4 linked regions of the Arabidopsis thaliana genome follow. The protein of the gene in region 4 purifies or fractionates together with the protein of the main gene of each other region. This does not show direct contact. Each region holds a gene or a part of one and is shown on either strand. Other genes may lie near its edges. The genes, in order: AT5G37475, AT5G25754, AT1G66070 and AT5G44320.

Region 1 (5,197 bases), 3.0 Mb from region 4:
TCGATGACCATCATATACAAAAGGTTGAAAATAAAGAAAATATCATTGATTCATTGTAATGCAATATAAGCTATTCTATATAGAATTCAAATAAATTTTGTTGATTTATTAAAAGTGTCTATGACATTGAGATTGAAAAGAGTATTCTAATAAGGGCTATATTAATATCTATGCTCAGATGATCAGAATATTAAGTATCTATGTATGAAAACTGAGTTATTAATCCTCTGTCTTCCCCAACATAATTTCTGACAAAAAAGCTCCTATAAAACCAAAATATAGTTTATAGCATAGTTTCAACATGCTAAAGATATCTTAGAAGATATCTCCCACTGGCATTAAAAACATAAAGATATTGTAAATCATTATTGATATGTATAGGGTTGTAGGTATGTCGAATATATACGATACTAGTTTCCGTTGGCTTTTAGAAATAATCCTCAAACAATAAACTGCGAGTTTAAATAGAACCTATGTGGTCTCGCTGACTATAAGCAACGTTCTGATAACAAATAGTATCGCGATAATCTCGTATCTGCTAAACATAATGATATTTCCGTTAACTTTATAAAGAAAGTCCACAATCAATAGACTACGAGTTTAAATGGTAACAATGTTAGTCGATATAACTACTAGCAGATAATTAAGATAATAACTACGATGCCACATGTTGTCCCTTTGTGTTTTACAACAAGAATCAAAGCTAGTAACACGTTCTAATAATAACAGAATCATGAAAACCTCTTATTCGCTAAACACGAGCATATTTGTTTGTAGCCTTTTAAAAATAATCCTCAAACAATAGCCTACGAGTTTAAATGGTAACAATGTTAGTCGATTTAACTTCTATCAGATAAGAAAAATAATAACGACGATGCCACAGGTTGTCTCCTTGTGTTTTACAAAAAGAATCAAAACTAATAAACACTTCCTGATAACAACCCGTATCGCGATAAGCTTCTAACCGCTAACATCAGTATCAGGATAATCTCGTTTTGGCCGCTAAAGACTATATCATTTTAGTTAACTTTTTAATTTCTTTTTACAAACAATAGACTACGAGTTTAAATGGTAATAATGTTAGTCGATATAACAACTAGCAGATAATTAAAATAATAACGACAATGCCACATGTTGTCTATTTGTGTTTTAGAACAAGAATCAAAACTAGGAACACGTTCTGATAACATTAGTATCGCGATAACGACGATGCCACATGTTGTCCATTTGTGTTTTACAACAAGAATCAAAACTAGGAACACGTTCTGATAACATTAGTATCGCGATAACCTTTCTTCTTCATATAGGATCGAAAAATATGACTGATCGTTAGGTGGGGAAGAAAAAAAAACATAAAAAAAAATACAACTCCCAAAACAATATCAACATAAAATCTTCTCCTACCGTGTGCAATAATATCTCGCTACAATCTATAATTGACTAAACTGATAATATAGGGGGTAAAAAAAATGTTATCGAGTGATATTTTCCTTCTAATAAAAACTAAGTTTTCAATTTTTTTTTTGTGGTTTAGCTTTTTAGGTTTTTTTGTTTTTGTTCAAGTCTTTGTATTATATCAAAATTGGAAGTCTTATGAAAATCGTTTTACTAATAATATTTATGAAATACATCTGATGATAGTTAAAAATTTATATCATTTTAAAATTATTTTTCTTAATTAATCTAAATTTTTAATTTCGTTAAAAATAAATTCTTATTATTTTTTTTTATTTTGGTCCAAAATGTTTATTAATCTTAGTTATGAATTATATTTAAACAATTGTTCTTTTATGTTTTTTTTTTAACAATTGTTCTTTTATTTATTTTGTTAAGAATATAACACTGACAAAACAAAAGAGAAAATAAAATACCTAAATATAGGTAATTTTAAAAAGTTTAAGCCAATTCAAATTAGGTGATCAAAAAAAGAAGAAGGGAAATAAGTATTTTTAAAAAATATAAATAATTCCACTTAAATGCGAATATTATAGAAAGAGAAGAGAAAAACCTAAAATCCATCTTCGTTGTCGTTTCGTCTGCTTCACATCGGAAAGCTACATCTTTTTCGTTTTTTGTGGTGGCGATTTCTATTCTCCGGCTGAAACCTACCTTCAGGATTCAGCCTTTCTCAGGTACTGTTTCTTCCGTCTCCATTCGCTTCAATTTCACTTGACTGTTGAATTCATCGAATTGAATCCGAGCTGGGCATGCCAATATTTATCAGTACTGATTTTGTGTAAGGTTAGATTTAGGATTTGTGGTGCTTGATGGGTTTTTATTGGTAATTGGGTTGTAGGTTCCTCCTTAAAAGTTGTGTAATTTGTCACTAATTGGGTTTAGATTACACTAATGATCAATCAAACTCTGTTTTGCTATATTCTTTTGTATGATTGATGATGTTTAAAAGCTGAATCCTTTCATGAATCAGGTCGCAAACTCGGTGTTCATAACCTAAGTTTTGGAACGAACAAACTTGTGTTTGCTGGCTTGCTTGAGAATTAACTTGTAATCAGGCTCTATGCTCTTATTTTAGTAGTTCTATTTGCATGTGAAGTACTAGTAGGATCAGAAAGTCTTTCTATAGTAGATTGTTTTATGTTCTTAAGCTGTGAAGCCTTGATCCTAAGAGTAATTGTATCATTGTCTTGGGCTGTTATGAATTCCTGGTATTTGCAAGTTTACTGTGAGTTGTTACACACGTTTTTGTTGCTTGGTCAGACCAGATGACTAACTACTTAAAATCATGAATATCACTATATTGAAAATATCATATTCGATTTTTCATAGGAGTTTTGTTGCATTTTACCTCCAGGATATATAACTAACTAATGTATGATTTACATTTAAGCATCACCAGTGAGAGCCTTTGTTCTGATCTTTGTTCTGATCTTTGTTCTTTCTGATGTTATGTGGCTGCTTGTGCCTTGTGCAGGTTTTCAGTTGGATTCAGATAGCAGCTTGTACTTCTTCTAGATAATCGGCGACACATATGGATGATTGGGGTAAGACTTACATTAAGAATTGTTCAATACACAATACTTTCTTGTTCTCTAGGTGTTGCATTAATCTCTTTGAATATGTAAAAAGTAGTACAGGCTGTATACAGCTATATATATTTTACTATGTTCTCTAAGATGATAGGCTTTATTGTTGTTTTATTGAAGTTTTCATATGGGAAATATATTAGAATTCTCACTTTTAGGTTTTCCTTTCTGATTTCAGAGGCCGAGGACTTTCAACCACTTCCCTCAAAAGTTGAACTGAAAAGTAACTGGGATGATGAGGATGTGGATGAGAATGATATCAAGGACTCGTGGGAGGAGGAAGATGTATCTGCTCCGGTATATTTTTCTTTCATTATATACTTTTAGTCATTGGGTTTTGTTTGTTATTTGTTTTTGAGATTGCGGCTAACAATCTTTGTTTCTCCTGTAGCCACCTATAGTAAAGCCTGCTTCTGAGAAGGCTCCAAAGAAACCAGCAGTAAAAGCTGTTGAAAAGAAGGTTAAAACTGTTGAAGCTCCGAAAGGAACATCAAGGGAAGAACCTCTAGATCCTATTGCTGAGAAACTTCGCATGCAGAGGTAGAGTGTAATAATAGTTCACTTACATATGCTTCTACTGTTGGTTCTGCATTGGTTTGGTTGAATGGGATGAAAAATGTTTTCTAGTAGTGTAAGAAGCATGTCACTGAGGAAGGCCATTGTGCTAATTTTTAATATTCTTCTTATCTTAGGCTTGTAGAGGAAGCTGATTACCAATCAACTGCTGAACTCTTTGGAGTAAAGACTGAAGAGAAAAGCGTCGATATGTTAATTCCGAAGTCTGAAAGCGATTTCTTGGATTATGCTGAGTTGATATCTCAGAGACTTGTACCATTTGAGGTATGCTATTTTCATTTCCTGTTACTTTCTTGTCTTAGCTAACTGTCACTTATTTCTATATGACCAAATATCATATTAAGACCAATTCGTCTGCATTTTAACTATGTCTACTATTTCGCAGAAAAGCTTTCACTATATCGGGCTACTCAAAGCAGTGATGAGACTTTCTGTGGCTAATATGAAAGCAGCAGATGTTAAAGACGTTGCTTCGTCCATTACAGCTATAGCAAATGAAAAATTGAAGGCGGAGAAAGAAGCTGCTGCTGGCAAAAAGAAGTCAGGTACACACAATCAGTCTTTGAATTTTGTTTTATTCTTTGGATTTGATAAGACTTGTGAATTATATGTTTTTAAGCTAAGCAAGCATGTCTCTGTTTCCAAAATGATCAGATTAAAATGTTTTTTTCTTTCTTTCTTTCGTTTCACTGTGTTTACTAGGTAAGAAGAAACAACTTCATGTTGATAAGCCTGATGATGATCTTGTTTCGGGTCCTTATGATGCCATGGACGATGATGATTTCATGTGAGAAAATGGCAATTTTGGAGATTGCATTTTACCTCCTATAGGATTGTAACTGAGAAGAGGTTTAAATCGTCGGCGGTTTTTTGTTTTGTATACTGAATTGCAAAAGTGTTTTTCTTCTGTTTTCTTTGCTCGGTTTGATTTAAAAATTTGTGTAATAAGATTTGTTGTGGGCACACTATTTCCTATTATATGAATTGAACGAGTACTAAGAGCACGGCCTATGATTCACTTAGAATTTGAAGCCACATTAGTAAGATAAGTTTTCGATAATGAACCAGCAAATCTAACACATTACAAGAGATATACACTCGAAGAAGACCTAAACATGTAGTGTGAAGAGTAATCAATACGTAGAGAATCAAATGAACTGGAGAATCTTCGGGGAGTAGCTTGATCAAGTCTTTGGCGTAAAGTGATGCATGTGTCATGGGAGAGAATTGATGAATCTAGTGATGCCCTAAATTGGTTCTCAGTTGTAACAAACTATCGATACAGATAAGAAATAGAGAGATTCATAGTTATTGTTTGAAAATTTAGAAAAGTTAGAAAAGTTAGAAAAGTTTTTGTTTGAAAAATAACCTACCCATTTTTTCTCTTTAAAAACTATTTTCTAAAATAAGAAAGGAATATAAAATTACAAATATATCCTTACTAAAATTTACTAATAATTTTAAAACATTTATATTTAAAACAAAATCAGCTTTTTATTATATTTTTTGTCGATCAAAATAATATATTTTAATTTAAAAATATTTGATGTAACTATTTTTTTCGTCAACTATTTAAT
Region 2 (6,462 bases), 8.9 Mb from region 4:
AGATAAAATAATGTTTTGCTCTCACATGTTCACATGTGGATCGAAATATTAGTAAAAAAAAACTAATATGATAAGTATTATTTGACACATCTCATGATCTAAATTAAATTCCATTCCTTTTCATTTCCTTAATTCCACAATATGCAATTATATTTTTGTTTTTTCCCCCTTAATTGCTCTTGTTCTTTCAATTTTTTTTACATATTTTGCTCTAATATGTTCTAATAGCATTTCTGATTTTTTTCCTTCTTTAGAAAACTTTGACATATATAAATAATTAAACAATTATGAAATTGTCAAGCATCTCGAATAAAAATGGGGTAAAAAAACCTTTTCTAAAAGGGAAAAAACCCAAAAAAAATTTTAACTAATTTTTATTTGGACGTTTAATTCCCAATTTTGGGTTGGGAAAAAATAAAGTAATAAAAATGTGCAATTTAATACCCAAATAATTAAATGTTGTTATTTTCGATCCCACAACAAAAATAAAATTCCAATTTTACTTTACCATCTCAATTGATTATTAATCTTTAGATTATATGACATTAGTTTTATAATTTTGGATAAAAATAATTTTATTAACATATTTGTTTATGGTGTCTAGAAATTTAAAATTTTATTTTTATTATAATTATTCTATTTTAAAATTTAACATAAAAATTAATGAAAATCAAAAATATTTTAAATTGGCCGGTAAACAATTTGCGTTCGAATTTAAATCTTTCACGAATCAAACTATTTTTGACAAAATCTCAATCCGAATCTTATCGTCTTTTTCAATATTGACGGTTACTTTTTCACATTTCAAAATCTCAATATTAACGGTCCTTATAGACTTTTACCAAATCCACCATGTCCAATTTCATTGGTTGAGTCTAGAATATTTGAATCTCTTCTGGATTAGTTGCGCTTATTGCTTGTTTCTTTCTGATCAACTCGAACATGAATCATGACATTCCCGCACTCAAAAAGTGTTCGATGGAATGTCGGATCTACTAATTGCAGTGATACTCGTCTATATCCCAAGGCAATTGCCATTTAGAGCGTGTATTGGCTTTAACAAGTTGATTTGATATTGCCTGCTTAGTTAGAGATCGCTAATGGTGATTAGGTCAGTGTCTAGCTTTACTTGAGGATTTCTATCACGGTAGTGAATTAATCTGTTACTGAACTTGTTGTAGGGATAACTTATGTGAAGTTTTATCAACCATCTTAATAGATTAAGGAGATCACGCTATTCGATTACTTCATCCTTAGGAATCTTTTATCCATTTGATTGTCTGTTATCTCATCTGCTTTGTTATTCATCTACTTGCTATTGCCATTTCACATTTTAGTTTCATTTCATTTATGTTAATCGACATTAAGATTATTAGAAACTGACAACTCTCTGCTTGGCTTGACTTAGTAAATTCTGATTATATCTCATCTGTTTGCATCACACCAGATTGGATTGACAACCTTAAGTATTACAACGATATGATAGTGTTTTAGGAATTGATACCCTAAAAACCTATTATCACCAAGCTCGAAGACATCCCCGGGAGACACAAGCGTACGGTTGCTTTGTTGCCGCAACGTTTCAAAAGAAAACAACGTATTCGTATGACTTGAAGGTGAAGCAATCCAGCAGGGGAACCATGTGATAAGAGAGCACATGTGCGGGAGAAATATGCACGTGTGACGAGATGCTAGAAGAAAAAGAATAATATCTGCAATAGATGCAAGTGGGGATTGCTGCTTATATAGATGATCTCATTGTTTAGAGATTCTTTATGCTGATTGATGTAGAAGCTTCTGCGTGAGAATGGTAGATGATGAGCTAACCAAGATGATATGTTAGGCGTCTCCTTTGGTTTGTACATTGATCGGCGATAAGTTAATCAGAGTTTGGTGGCTTGATACTTATCACCATGTATACGTCGAATAGTTTTGGAAGATGATGAAAAAGATTAACTCCTGTGTATTCTGTAATCAGCAAGAACGAAGAACAGACCTGTAGTTACTATGATACATAAAAGTCAAATAGCAATTTATTCTACTTTGACTTTAAAACCATTCTGTTGGCAAGTAGTGGTGACTTAAAATTTTCATAACCTTGAATACTTTCAATGTTTTTGAACTAGCAATTCGAAAGAAACTCGAGATTGGTTATAATCTTCAGTGCCATACTCAATAAAAAAAACTAGCAATAATCCATAAGAAAGATGATTTATGGTTATCATTTGACCACATGAAGACAGCTACTCAAAAAAGTGTTTGGCTTTAAGTAAACATATGGTTTATAAGAGAAAGCATCATATCAGATTGGGCATTGATGATTAGGTATAACACAGAAAAGTCGTCATTCCAGCTTGACACGATCCATGTCGTTGATCACACCTTCAAGCTGCGCAATGGAGGAAAAAAAGAAAAAGACCCAAAAATCAAAACAAGAGTTGATGTGCACGAGTCTTAGTTTCAGTTTATACAACATACCTTGGCAATCTGCCGCAAGAAGAAATCACCATAACGTTTTGCGGGTTTTGATTCGACAACGTAGATCATGTCCTGCAGTGTCACCAGGTTTAGAGTTGTTACAAACGTTGTAAAAGCACCAGAGTATCGATATCAGAAAGACAGAGAGAGAAGAAAGAACATACGTTGTTGATGAAGAAATCAATGTCTGCATTGGAGATGATCCTACCATCGGAATCAACTGAATGGGTCTTGTGCTTGTATGTTAACAATATGGTCCTGCAAATTAAAACCCCGTACATGTCAAAGAAAAAGAGAGAAGTAGATTTGGTAATAATAGTTATAAGAATGCCCATAGTTAGTCCCTGACCTTAGAGTGGGCTCATCAACTTCCATGTAGTTTGCGAGCTTAGCAAGAGAAATGGAGGAGTAGACTTTCAGGAAAGTCCGCACTCCCGACAAGAGCTGCTGCTGCTTTACCTCGTAAAGGAACATCTTCAGCTGAAGCCTGTATGCATCCTGATTGTAATTGACAAGAGGTTCCTCGAAAGTTGGTGGTGCGGAAGGGGTGATAAACTTGGGGCATGCGTAAGAGAAGAGCTCATCATAAATACCAAAGGCCTCGTCGTCAGACCTCAGCATCCTCATCATCTTTTCACCATACTTGTCTCGCAGCTGAGAGTTGACAGACTCGTCAACGAGTTTAGTTTGAGGGCAGAGGGAGAGGGAGAGAGCAAGCAAAGCGTACATCTGCTCATTCTTCTTGAGTAATTGCTCGTACTGAGGTGACTTTTGATGGTACTGCTTAGTCTTGAAAATGTAGAGGAGAATCTTGTTGAACTCACGAACAGCATCGACATACCTCCGCAACATAAGGGTGGCAAATCCATAGTGGTAGATAGTAGCGATATGGCAACCAATGACACTGGTGTAAACACCTGGCTGAGTGATGTCAATGGGCTGCAACCATTTGAGAGCAGTGTGGTAGTCACCGAGGAGGCAGTGAACACGCAAGAGACCGACCATGCTGAAGTAACCGAGGACCTTCAAGACGTTGCTGCCACCGCTGAAATCGTAGCCATCAGTCTCAGTGAACTCAAGGCCATCCTTGTCATGCTCAAGGATCTGGATGATACAAGACTTCTCCACAAGTGCTTGCAAGAAGTTGAGCACGCCATAGACATTCCAGGCCTTATCGTGCTGTCTGAGCAATGCAATCTCCTCCTCTGTTTTGTTCTTGAGCTTTGCTCTGAATTGACAGAAACTTTGGAACTGGTAGACAAACTCATCCACCATATCCCACAACCACTGGTTCGGCAACTGCATATTCACTACGCCGTGCAACACAACCTAGAAAGAACAAACGGAAGAAGGTCTACTTACTTGTATTTATTCCCAGCCAATACATACACAAAAGAAATCAAAATCAACAACATCTCTATCTAACAAGGAAGAAGAAGTAGAAGAATTCCACAACAGACCTGAAAGAGGCTGCAATAGTTGTCATAAGAATCAATCCTCTGCTTCAACGTCGGAGACAACCTCGCATACAAATGTCGAAACCACATCTCACGGTACAGAAGACAGAACACATGGTCGTTGTCTACGTAAGGAGCAATCGCTTCCACACTTGGCCACGGCGTGTCCTTGAACAGACGCTCCGATATGCTCTGGAACGATGTCTCACACATCTGGTGGATCTCGTACACGTTCTTGTCCCTTATGTGTCTGTACATGTGTGACACGAACGATTTCACCGAATCCGGCACCATATTCGGGTCGTACCCACTCTCCCTCTCCCCTGGACCTTCCTCGTACTCATTGCTGCTCGCCATTCTCGCCGGATCAATTCTTAGCGGCCGCAACAATGTTAACTCTTCAACTCACTTCCACCGCCTAGGGTTTCCTTATTACCACCGGGTCTATCCTCCGGTTTGCTTTTACTACTAAATGAACGATTACCACCGGTTTGTTTATATCTCGATTTATTTTTCGGTTGTTTATCTATTTTACCGAATTAGACCAAAACTGAATCGAAATTAATTTTGTGTACTCTGACTCTCTCTCAAATCTCAATGTCTCAGCTTCTTCACCTTCACCGTCTCTCTCTTCCACAATCATCTCTTCGTTTCAGATTCCCGCCTTTACATCGCCGACGTGCAGCTTCGTCGCCAACTAACTCAACTCAACCCCCCCTGCAGTTTCGTCCTCTCACAGTCTCTAGATCTCAAATAACTTGCAGATTCAGCCAATCCGGTGAGACTTATCGTTTTTTCTTTCTTTTTTTCGATCTAATGAAACATTCCAAGTGATTGTATTAGATTCTTAGCAACATCTTCTTCATCTTCAACGAAATCATTGTAAGTTTTGCAGATATTACGCCACAATTTGAATTGGATAAAGCAAAAGACAATCGAAAACCACAAAAGCGAGCAAATGGCATATTTTGGATCATACTTATCAATCTGGGCATATATCTTGCTGATCACTTCTTTCAGGTATGAAAGCTTGTCTTTAGATATCAATCATCTACACTGTAAAACGTTATTCGTGTAATCCCATCTCTTTGGATTGTGACGTGCTTATCTTATCATACGTTTTATATTGTTTATTCGATTTAGGTTCGTGGGATCAAATCTTTGTATTTGTATCACAATTTTCCGGCATGGTATCAGTTTGTGACGGCTACATTCTGTCATGCTAACTGGTGAGAGAGCTCTCTTCTTTCTTTTTTACTTTGGCACTGTTCGTTTCATAATCGCTAGCGGCTGTGGCTGTGGCTGCGATTGCGATTGCGATTTTAAAATCGCAGGATGTTGTTCGTTTACCAATCGCTGCGATTAATCGCCATTTAAAAAGCCGCGTCGCTCTTTTTTCATGCGATCAAAAAATTCAGTCGCAAGCCGCAGCGATTGATCGCGCGATTAGTTGCAGGATCTTGCGACTGTCAAACGATCAACTTTCAGTCGCAGTCGCAGGCATCCTGTGACTACCAAACGAACAACACTTATGATAGTTTTTTTCTCTGTGGCTTATGTTGATGTTTCTCCTGATTCTTGGTTTTTTTTTTATGTATCATGTATGATTCTAGGAACCATCTCTCCAGCAATCTTTTTTTCTTGTACATATTTGGTGAGAGTTCAAGATTTTCTCATAGTTTGAATTTCTAGCTAGTTTATCGATTCAGAGAGCTAATGGACACATTTGGGAATCAGGAAAGCTTGTTGAAGAAGAAGAAGGAAACTTTGGTTTGTGGCTCTCCTACTTGTTCACTGGTGTTGGAGCTAACCTTGTTTCTTGGTTAGTTTTACCGAGAAATGCTGTTTCTGTTGGTGCCTCGGGAGCTGTTTTTGGGTTATTTGCTATCAGTGTCCTCGTCAAGGTACTGTAGTTTTCTTCTCTCCTTGTAAATCAAACTCCTCAGTAATATCTTGCTAATATTCAACTTCTTTTGATTGTCTAGATGTCTTGGGATTGGAGGAAAATCCTTGAAGTTCTTATATTGGGTCAGTTCGTTATTGAGAGGGTAAGATTTTCTCAAAATTTACTCACAGCATCACTACCGTTATAACCGTATTCCGGCTTACAGTCCCATCTTCTTATGAGTATAATGAGGTTTTTATACAATATATGAGAGAAAATGTCTGATGATGTATGCAATATAGAAGCTCTTCGAATTCAGGGACGATAACTGTTTAGTTAATTGATCTGAATAGGTAATGGAAGCAGCTCAGGCGTCGGCTGGATTATCAGGAACTATATATGGTGGATACTCTTTACAAACTGTTAATCACATTGCGCATCTCTCTGGTGCTCTTGTTGGGGTTGTTTTAGTTTGGCTTCTCAGCAAATTTCCTTCGGCATCTATGGATCAAGACGTTAAAAAGTCCTCGTAAAAATGACGAGACAAAACTTTTCGTGTAAGGAACATACTAGCTGTCCAGTGAATGCAAGGTAGATGAAACGATTGATAGATTGACAAAATATCCTTGTAAAAAAACTGAA
Region 3 (5,327 bases), on a different chromosome or scaffold from region 4:
TGATAGGATAGGATATTTTTCTGCTTTTTTTTGTTTTTAGTTGGATATTTTTCTTCACCATTACTGGAAATCATTAAATGAATCTTCTTGAAGTTTTAAAAGATTCTTATAAAAAGAATATCTTAGAGAGTAGATATTGTAACATATTTAAGAGTCTACATTACAGAGAATTATATCAATCAATTCATATGATTACTTTCTTTAATCAATCCCACTAATCTTTCTCCTAAAAGAGAATGTGGAAGAGGCTGAAGTTGTTGACACAATGTCTTCCGGAGGAAACAACACAGAGTCCGAAGAAGAAGAAGAAGCAACTCAACCACCAATTAAGAAGATTAAACAATACAGTCACTGTGTTGTTGTTGGAAATTAACTAGTAAGGAATTAGAGTTCCTTAGTTAAAAACTCATCATCATCCTCCCATGAATTCTTTATGTCATTCCCATTCACATCTTTATGTTATTAGCTAATGTAAAGTCATGATGATATTAGCGTGTTTCAAGGTTTACTACTAACATTAGCGAATTGTAACGAATCAACATTTTCTCTCTTACTCAAGAGGCAGTATTTAAAGATTGGACAACATGAAACGCACTCATGTCTATAAGAAATTCAACCCCCAAAGAGATTTAATCAGATCAATGTCAATAATAAATTTATACGGACACTTTAAGTATAGCTTTTTCAACCAACAAATAGAACCAAAAACATGACTCTAGAGAATTCCCAGACCAAACCAAAACAAAAGCTTCCCATGTTCCAACTATATATTTCCGCAACCAGAAATTTGGCTCTTCTTGCTCTATTCAAACCAAAATTAAGAAAAATGTGTTTCTTTTGAGTGATAGATAAATGATAAAATAGACGCTGGACAAATCCAATTTGCATTTGCTCAAAAAGCTCTTTTAATCTACATGAAGTCGAAGTCATCCATGGCATCATAAGGACCAGCCACTAGATCGTCATTGGCCTTATCTACAATAAGTTGTTTCTTCTTTCCACCTGATCAAGCAATGCCAATGGTCATGAAAAACGGATTCAGAATAACACATTCATAAAACTATAAACCAAAGATGAAGTGATTGTGAGTAACACATTCAGAATAATACCTTTCTTTTTTCCCGCAGCAGCTTCTTTCTCTGCCTTTAGTTTTTCATTTGCTATCGTTGTAATGGACGAAGCAACATCTTTAACATCAGCTGCTTTCATGTTGGTCAATGAAAGTCTCATGATTGTTTTGAGCAGCGCTATATAGTGATAACTTTTCTGCAACAGAAACCAAACTATATTTTCACACATCATGAGCTTCAATACTAGCCAATGAGAATAAAGGTATATAAGGCAGAATACAACATACCTCATATGGTTTAATCCTATGAGAAATCATTTCAGCATATTCCAAAAAATCGCTTTCAGACTTGGGGATAAACATATCAAGGTTTTTGTCATCATCCTTCACTCCAAAGAGCTCAGCAGTTGCCCGGTAGTCGGCTTCCTCAACAAGCCTGTGATAGAAAGAATATAACATATAAGGTCACATAGACCTTCACAGCCTTCTTCCATACACAAAGTACAAAAGATTAAAGTGAATTATTATGTGTGGGAAAGATATTATTTACAAACTGTACCTCTGCTGGCGAAGTTTCTCCGCTATAGGATCTAGAGGTTTTTCTTTTGGTGCTTCCTTTGGAACTTCGACTGCTTTACCCTTCTTTTCAACAGTTTTGGGGGCTGCTTTCTTAGGAGCCTTCTCCGGAGCAGGATTTATAACAGGCGGCTACAGAAAAACAACAAGGCAAAGCAGACAAAACATAAATATTCCCGTTGGAATCTCAAACCAAATTATACGTAGTAGCCACTAGCCAATAGGGAAAGAATTACAGAGAGTAAAAACTAAGCTATACCTGAGCAGGTTCATCATCATCATCCTCCCATGAATCCTTAATTTCATTCTCATCCACATCTTCATCATCCCAGTTACTTTTAAGCTCAACTTTTGCTGGAAGTGGTGCAATTTTCTCGTCCTCTGGAATCAGAAAATAAAAATTATAAGACTACTCACATGCTAGTGATACGATTTTGAAATATCAAATATGAAACCCATCAGATTAGCAAATAATCCAAAATTGCTTGCATATCCAATCAAATACTATAAATAAATAAGAAGACTATAATTAGATACAAATAGAGAATATAAGAGAGGACACTTAAAGCATAGTCTTACCCCAGTCATCCATATTTGCTGCAAATTATCAGGTACAGATATAAGCTTCTATCTGAGTCCAACTGGTAAACCTGCCAAACATACGCGTAAGCATCAGAAACACGCTTATTTGATCAAACTACATTACTGATCAATCATTCAATCCACATAATCAAATACACTGATCCCCATGTGTAAATATGCTTAAACTACTTGTAGTAAGCTTGCTAACTTCACATCATAGACAGAGAATACTGATACTATTACTTTACAAATCAAGGTTTCACAGCTAACAAAAACACATAGGCCTAATATTTCACACCCAGGAAAAACAGCTAAATCTAATGCTTACAAAAGACAAGATATCTTATATCAATTAAAACTATTACAGGCATGTCAGCTATCTAAACCTGAACACAAGTTCCATGAACTCTTAGAGAGATACCAAACAAAAACAGTCCCCAAAACACAAGAATCTTAAACACATAACTAATAATTTCCTTCTGATTTTGGTAATCCAATCCTATGGATTTGCAACATCGATATGAATTCCTCAATCGAAATCAATCAAAATGGTTAAAACCTTAAGAAGTCCTTGTTTCAATAAAAAAAGGATTCAACTTGAACATCATCATGCAAACAAAGAGCAGAGAAAAAGTAACGAATTGGTCATAGTAATCTACACTACACACAGAGAAGTTTTGATGATAAAGTTTGAATCATTAACCATGAATTCGAGAACCCAACATTAAGAAATCAAATCAAATCAAAATCATAATTTGGAGCAATTCTATAGAAACCCACCAGAGAATCAATCGAAAATTAAGATCTAGAAGCGAATTTAACTGAGAAAGGAAAACCCTTTGATAAGAAAACATACCGAGGAAAGTCTGAATCCAAAAGGGTTTTTCGCAGAGGAAGAGAAATCGCAAGAAAATTGAAGCGTTTTCGTTGGATTAGAAATCTCCGATGTGGTGGTTTTTGCTTCAGAGGTTAAAAAGAGATTTAGGGCTTTTGTGTGTTTCCTTTTGTTTTTCGTTAGATTTTATGCCTTTTTATAAAGCCTTTCCACCGTGGCCCCAACATGTCGAACCGATCAAAGTATAGACCAAAGTTGTTTGGTCAATTTCGGTTAGACTGATACGGTCGAACCGATCACCGTGGCCCCAACATGTAACTTTTTCCATCTTACACTCTCCATTTTTTTATTCCGTTTTTAATCATTTTTTTTTGGAGTTTTTGCACAATGATTTGAATTTGCTGACCAAGTATTAAGTACTTTTTGCAAATGAGGGTTGAAGGGTATTCTCACATGTGTGCAATCGATTGTAGAAAATACTTATGTATTCGAGATTGAAGTTTAAGTTAAAGGCTTTGATTTTGATTCATCGTATGTATCAGACAACTAGAGTTGTCCATCCAAGTCAGATTATCCCGAATATTTGTAAGCTTCTTGACTCTACAAATTGTTTAGGTCCATTGAATATTGAAGCCGTTGGTAAGCCAATCTAGAACCATATCAAACAACAACTTCAATCGATTAGATCAATGTATTAACGATCTACTGTGATATAGTGGACAAGAATCAAGATTCAAGATTCAAGATTCATTCCTCACACACAAGCTGAGTTAAATCATCACCTTTCATCCACCTCTAAGCAACAAAAATAAAGTTCATCACTTTAAATTACTTAAGAGCTACATTTGAGCTTATGACCATGACCAAATCTGAAACAGTATCCACTCAATGTATATGTGATTCATATTTTGCAACTACTCATATAGTTCTCACAAAATATTGAATTAACCGTTGAAAACAAATATAGAACATAAGATTAAATTATAATAAACTACAATCTCTTCTTCCATTTATCATATAGAACCTAAGATCAAACGGGTAAAACCACACAGTACACACTGTAAGAAACTGAAGCTTCTCAAAAACTAGGAATCAAGATTCATTCCTCAACACAAGATGGATTAAATCTTCACTTTTCATCTACCTCGATTCAACAAGATATAAAGCTCAACACTTTATATTGCTAAGATCAAAGGTTGATTGAGCCTATGAACATGACCAGAATCTGAAACAGCATCCACTTACCAAAACTATGATTTATAATGTGAGTTAGAACACTGAAACTGTTAAACTATCCTCTGACCAAATACTGAATCATATATTACTAGACCAAAAAATGTCAAACCTTCCTCTGTTGAATTGCACTAAATTAACCGAAGAAAAAAATATGAACATGGAAAGCAATTATGCATATCTCTCACATTTTCTCATTGGCAAACTAAGTAAACTAAAATGTTGTCTTAGATTCATCATAAAAACATGAACAGATTTAATCTTAACCCTTTCATCTACCTCAATCCTCAAAACAACAAGAGAAAGTTCATCACTTTAAATTTCTAACAGCAGAGTATAAACTTATGAACAATAGATACGAAACAGTATCCACCATTCCACCTACTAAAACTGTGATTCATATGTAAGCAAGAAGAACACTGAAACCAAAATATTCATAACCCTCATATTATCTCACTAGCAAACTAAGTAAAACTACAATCTCTCCTCCAATTCATCATATATAACCCAAGATCAAATGGATTCAACCACACAGTATACCAAAGTGAGCTAATCAAAAACTAAGAATCAAAATTCATTCCTCAACACAAGACAGATTAAATCTTCACCTTTTCATCTACCTCAAACCAACAAGATATAAAGTTCAACACTTTAAATTGCTTAAAAGCAGAGTATGATCAACTAGTTAATAAACATTGACAAACAAAGTAAAACTACAATCTCTTGTTCAATTCATCACATAGAACCACAAGATCAAATGTTACAAAAACGCTAACCTTACAAAGCAAAGCTTTTGAGGAAATCAGGATCACGTTTAGCTTTCTCCTGAAACTTCTTAAACCAACGATCCAAAATATCCATAGGAACAACCAATTTACTTCCATCAACACCACAAAAAGACTGCATAAAGTTAAACAAATTCTCTCCAACTTTCATAGCCAATTTCTCAATCCTCCTCTCCGCAACAACATCCAACGACCTCAACGCTGCTACATCCTCCACCGAAACACCGATCTTCGCCGATAAGGAACT
Region 4 (4,718 bases):
GCACCAATTGTCGCATCCCATTTACTCTGATCTACTTCCTCATCTACCCATTTACATTCCCGGGGTTGTGTAGTCAGACCTGGTGAGTTTTGTTCAACCGATTCAGAGGAAGCATGCGAGTTTGTCTTGTGAATATTACCCAGTTCAGTGCTAGTTCCAGCTAGAGCCTTCTTTCCTTTCATCCCACCTGAACATCTCGAAGAGAAGTTATCTGAAAAGCTACTTGTCAGCAAATCTTCTGGTTTATCCGCTACTGTTGCTTGTTCTCTTTCTGCTAACATCTCAGTAGCCCGTTCAAAAGACTTGCAAAACGGTTCATTCTTCCATTGATTCCCTAGAGACTGTTTTACATCCTCAAGCAGAGATTTAGCTTCATGGGTTCTTTCCATACGTATCAAACAGATTGCAAGATTGCACAACTTGTTATTGTCAGGTTCCAAAGACAAAGCATTCCTATCACAGTAAAACCCATTTCACTTGTTAAGGCAATGATAAAACTAACATTCTTAATGGGATTGATGGTGTTTCACAAACCTGTAATACTGCTCTGCAATTCCATAGTTATGAAGCTGTAAGTGAACCCAAGCTAAGTTCCCTAGAATCCTACATATCCAAACACCAAGAAAGTCAGAGAAACTACTCTTTCAGGTATAAAGCGGAGATGGGAGATTGTCTTGCCGTGCTTTCTCTTGCTCGATTGTCTTGTTATTCTGCTCCTCATGGCTTCTTTTCGCTATTTTGATCCTGCCACCATAATGTTTGTCTTGTTCAAGTGTTCTCAGTTTGTGTTCAAGCAGCTCAGCGACCTCTGTAATCCTCCCAGACTTCTGCAAAACCAAAATCCATCAAAATCACATACTGAGCATAGAAATAGCTTCACAATTAGTCATACTGAGAAAGTTTTACCATGTAGAGTTCAAGTAACAAGTTATCAATAGAATCTTGAGATTCAAAAGGGCAGAGATATCGAAAAGACTTGATAGCTTCGATTCCTTCATCGAATCGGTTCAACTGTTTTAAAACAACTACCATGTCCTTCAATGCACTATCAACTCTATCTCCAGCATTAATCGCCGCCCAAAACAACGAGATAGCTCGATTCGGGTCTTTAGAAACCAACTGTTATTGAAAACAATTCCATGTCAAGAACAAACGTTCATACACATAAACCAATACAATTCACTAAAAACCCTATATTGATATTACCTGAGCATGTTTGGCTCTGACGTAAGGAGAATCACCAGTACGAACCCTAAACGATTCTTGATTCTCGATCAAAGGTGATCTTTTCCTCTCCGAAATCGGCATCGCAATGTAAACTCTTCTCGTCGTGTGCCATGACGGTGGTGGAGTCAAGAAACCTCCTCCCTTAGCACCACGGCTCTCACGACGCCGCATAGTGAGAATCTTCTTTTCTCGGGAAAATCTTCTTTACTTCCCCGAGAAAATGTTTCCGATGATCAAATTTTTGGGGTTCTATGGAACGTGTTTGTTAAAGATTAAGAAGCAAAGCGATTCCAAGCCGGAAAAGAGAAGAGACTAATGGAGAAATTTTCCCGAGAAAATTGGAGATTCTTTTTGAATTTTCTCTGAAGAAGAGAAGAGAGTAAAAAAGTCTTTATATAGTTGGACCTTAAGTAACCAATGAAAAACTTAGGGGAAAGAAGTGAGACATGGATATAAAAACAAGGATCTAAATAAAATAAGTTTTGCGACGAGTACAAATTCGTAAACTTTTGAATTGAAGTGCAACGTTCAGTTATTGGTTAACAGATCATGAACCGGTTCTAAGCCGGTTTCTTAATTCCTTAATAAATGTACGGTTGAATATAACCCAAAATTTCGATTGAGAGAATATAGCCCAAACCAAAAGCATTGGTTAGCTTAAACCGACGTCCTTTTGACTGAGTGAGATAATAATGGGCTTAAAAGGGCTAGAGTTTCTTATGACAAGAGAAAAGCCCATTGAGGCCCATTAAGGGCTAGGGTTTTCATTGTTGACAAAATAAAATACAAATTTTTCACTTGCGCACATCTTCTTCGCAAATCTCAACAATGGTGTTTGAAGCATTCGAAGTCGGCACAGTCCCATTCAATTCCGATGGTTGGGGACCACCAGATGCTTCCGACACTTCCTCCACCAGCGTCGCGGCGGCGAATCTCCTCCCAAACGTCCCCTTCGCTTCCTTCTCACGATCCGAAAAACTCGGACGCGTTGCTGATTGGACTCGAGCTCTCTCAAATCCATCAGCTCGTCCTCACACCGGATCCAAATCAGATCCATCAGCGATCTTCGATTTCTCAGCTTTTGCAGTAGATGAAGGATTTGGTCTAACAAACTCAGGTGGAAACGCCGACGAAGACGCCGCTTTCCGATTAGTCGACGGAAAACCACCGCCGCGTCCTAAATTCGGACCTAAATGGAGATTCAATCAATACCATAACCGAAATCAGCTTCCTCAACGTCGTGATGAAGAAGTTGAAGCTAAGAAACGTGAAGCTGAGAAAGATCGAGCTCGTCGTGATCGTCTCTACAATAACAATCGTAACAATATTCATCAGCAACGCCGTGAAGCCGCCGCGTTTAAATCATCAGTTGATATTCAACCGGAATGGAATATGCTTGAGCAGATTCCGTTTTCGACTTTCTCTAAGCTTTCGTTTACAGTTTCTGAACCTGAAGATCTTCTTCTTTGTGGTGGACTTGAGTCTTATGATCGGAGTTTTGATCGTATTACTCCTAAAGCTGATCGTAGACTTGAGCGTTTCAAGAACAGAAGCTTTAAGGTTACTACAAGTGATGATCTTGTGATCAGACGTCTTGCTAAAGAAGATAAAGCTACTGTTTTTGCTACTGATGCTATTCTAGCTGCTCTTATGTGTGCTCCTAGATCGGTTTATTCATGGGATCTTGTGATTCAACGTGTTGGGAATAAGCTTTTCTTTGATAAGAGAGATGGGTCACCGCTTGATTTGTTATCTGTTCATGAGACTTCTCAAGAGCCTTTGCCTGAGGGTAAAGATGATATTAACTCTGCTCATTCTCTAGGTCTGGAGGCTGCTTATATTAATCAGAATTTTGCTCAGCAGGTTTTGGTTAAGAATGGGAAAAGGGAAACTTTTGATGAGCCAATTCCTAATGTTAATGAAGGTGAAGAGAATGCTTCTATTGCTTATAGGTATAGGAGATGGAAGCTTGATGATAGTATGTATCTAGTTGCTAGGTGTGAGTTACAGAGCACTGTTGATTTGAATAACCAGAGATCGTTTTTAACTTTGAATGCTCTTAACGAGTTTGATCCTAAGTACTCTGGTGTTGATTGGAGACAGAAGCTTGAGACTCAGAGAGGTGCGGTTTTAGCTAATGAGTTGAAGAACAATGGTAATAAGTTAGCTAAATGGACTGCGCAGGCTCTCTTGGCTAATGCGGATATGATGAAGATTGGGTTTGTTTCGAGGGTTCATCCTCGTGATCATTTTAACCATGTTATATTATCGGTTTTGGGGTATAAGCCGAAAGATTTCGCTGGGCAGATCAATCTGAACACTAACAATATGTGGGGAATTGTGAAGTCGATTGTTGATCTGTGTATGAAGTTAAGTGAAGGAAAGTATGTTCTAGTGAAGGATCCATCGAAGCCTCAAGTTAGGATTTACGAAGTTCCGGCTGATGCATTTGACAATGATTATGTGGAGGAGCCACTCCCTGAAGATGAACAGGTTCAGCCACCTGAGGAGAACACTGATGCAGGAGCAGAGACTAATGGGGTTTCCTCTACTAATGTAGCTGTAGAGGATAAGAAATCCGAAGTTGAAGCCTGATTTTGATGATATGGGTATATTTCAAGTCGTGTTGTTTTGAGTTACTTTTAAAAAATGTTCGAAAGCTTGTTCACTTTTTCATAGACTATTTATGTTCCAAAATGTTGGTTCATGCTTTCTTGGTTGTTTTTGAATTAACTCTTTGAACTTAAAAGGTCATCACTGTGGTAGGTGCTTGGTCATTGATATTCCGGCATTAGAGAACAGTAGCATCTTTGATTATTCGTGAGACTCTTTTCTGATCGAGAATATGCTTTTTCTCAAGTGTTTATATATCAGTTTTCTCAAGCCAAAATTAATTATTGAAAGCCTAAAATTGTTAGCAGTTTGTTGGGCACAAGTAAAGCTTTCTTTAATGTTAAGTAATTGTGAGATTTGTTTAACCCACTGATCCTTCAAGCTTAATGCTCAAAAGCTGGTTAACTTCGGCTCCAAATTCATTAGGCAACTTGTTGAAAACATCTCTGCAAAATCCAGAGATCATTGCCGCTAATGCTCTCTCATGATCGATACCTCTCTGTTGAAAATAGAAAATCTGATCTTCTCCAATCTTTGAAGTACTTGCTTCATGCTCTATTCTCGCCGATGGATTCTTTACCTGTTATAAGATCTTCATTAGAGGTGCTTTTATCATAACCTTATAATAAAAGGTTAGATGATCATATACAAAGTACCTGTATGTAAGGATATGTATTAGCGGCTGCATTGTCACCAATAAGCATCGAGTCACAAGTCGAAGTATTTCTAGCGTTCTCAGCTCTGGATTGGTCCATGTATCAGCTTGCTGGTAGTTATTAGTCAATGATACGGATTAAAACTCTCCAACGGAATCATCTCCTTCTAAAACCACGCTTGGATACTTCCAAGTTATCGCGAACCCTTTCTCAACTTGAGTC

What was found.
Region 1: the proteins of AT5G44320 (region 4) and AT5G37475 fractionate together in Arabidopsis thaliana (co-fractionation; one large-scale study listed by BioGRID). This does not show direct contact.
Region 2: the proteins of AT5G44320 (region 4) and AT5G25754 fractionate together in Arabidopsis thaliana (co-fractionation; one large-scale study listed by BioGRID). This does not show direct contact.
Region 3: the proteins of AT5G44320 (region 4) and AT1G66070 fractionate together in Arabidopsis thaliana (co-fractionation; one large-scale study listed by BioGRID). This does not show direct contact.

The regions. Positions count from the first base shown.
Region 1 is NC_003076.8:14,865,542-14,870,738, reverse strand, and holds AT5G37475 (Translation initiation factor eIF3 subunit), read left to right. Parts: upstream 1-1,963; 5' UTR 1,964-2,132; exon of another isoform or gene 2,133-2,932; 5' UTR 2,933-2,989; coding exon 2,990-3,002; intron 3,003-3,222; coding exon 3,223-3,341; intron 3,342-3,435; coding exon 3,436-3,584; intron 3,585-3,736; coding exon 3,737-3,884; intron 3,885-4,005; coding exon 4,006-4,165; intron 4,166-4,322; coding exon 4,323-4,411; 3' UTR 4,412-4,682; downstream 4,683-5,197.
Region 2 is NC_003076.8:8,951,394-8,957,855, reverse strand, and holds AT5G25754 (RNA polymerase I-associated factor PAF67), read right to left. Parts: upstream 4,482-6,462; 5' UTR 4,293-4,481; coding exon 3,939-4,292; intron 3,808-3,938; coding exon 2,828-3,807; intron 2,737-2,827; coding exon 2,643-2,736; intron 2,551-2,642; coding exon 2,479-2,550; intron 2,390-2,478; coding exon 2,345-2,389; 3' UTR 517-2,344; downstream 1-516.
Region 3 is NC_003070.9:24,595,284-24,600,610, forward strand, and holds AT1G66070 (Translation initiation factor eIF3 subunit), read right to left. Parts: upstream 3,349-5,327; 5' UTR 3,084-3,348; intron 2,296-3,083; 5' UTR 2,238-2,295; coding exon 2,225-2,237; intron 2,027-2,224; coding exon 1,905-2,026; intron 1,778-1,904; coding exon 1,629-1,777; intron 1,506-1,628; coding exon 1,358-1,505; intron 1,267-1,357; coding exon 1,110-1,266; intron 1,003-1,109; coding exon 911-1,002; 3' UTR 526-910; downstream 1-525. Other genes in the region: AT1G66080 (hikeshi-like protein), read right to left, coding at 5,073-5,327.
Region 4 is NC_003076.8:17,854,005-17,858,722, reverse strand, and holds AT5G44320 (Eukaryotic translation initiation factor 3 subunit 7 (eIF-3)), read left to right. Parts: upstream 1-1,982; 5' UTR 1,983-2,055; coding exon 2,056-3,822; 3' UTR 3,823-4,176; downstream 4,177-4,718. Other genes in the region: AT5G44330 (Tetratricopeptide repeat (TPR)-like superfamily protein), read right to left, coding at 1-453, 535-603, 679-827, 907-1,119, 1,207-1,398; ABCI9 (Stabilizer of iron transporter SufD superfamily protein), read right to left, coding at 4,202-4,420, 4,497-4,581, 4,641-4,718.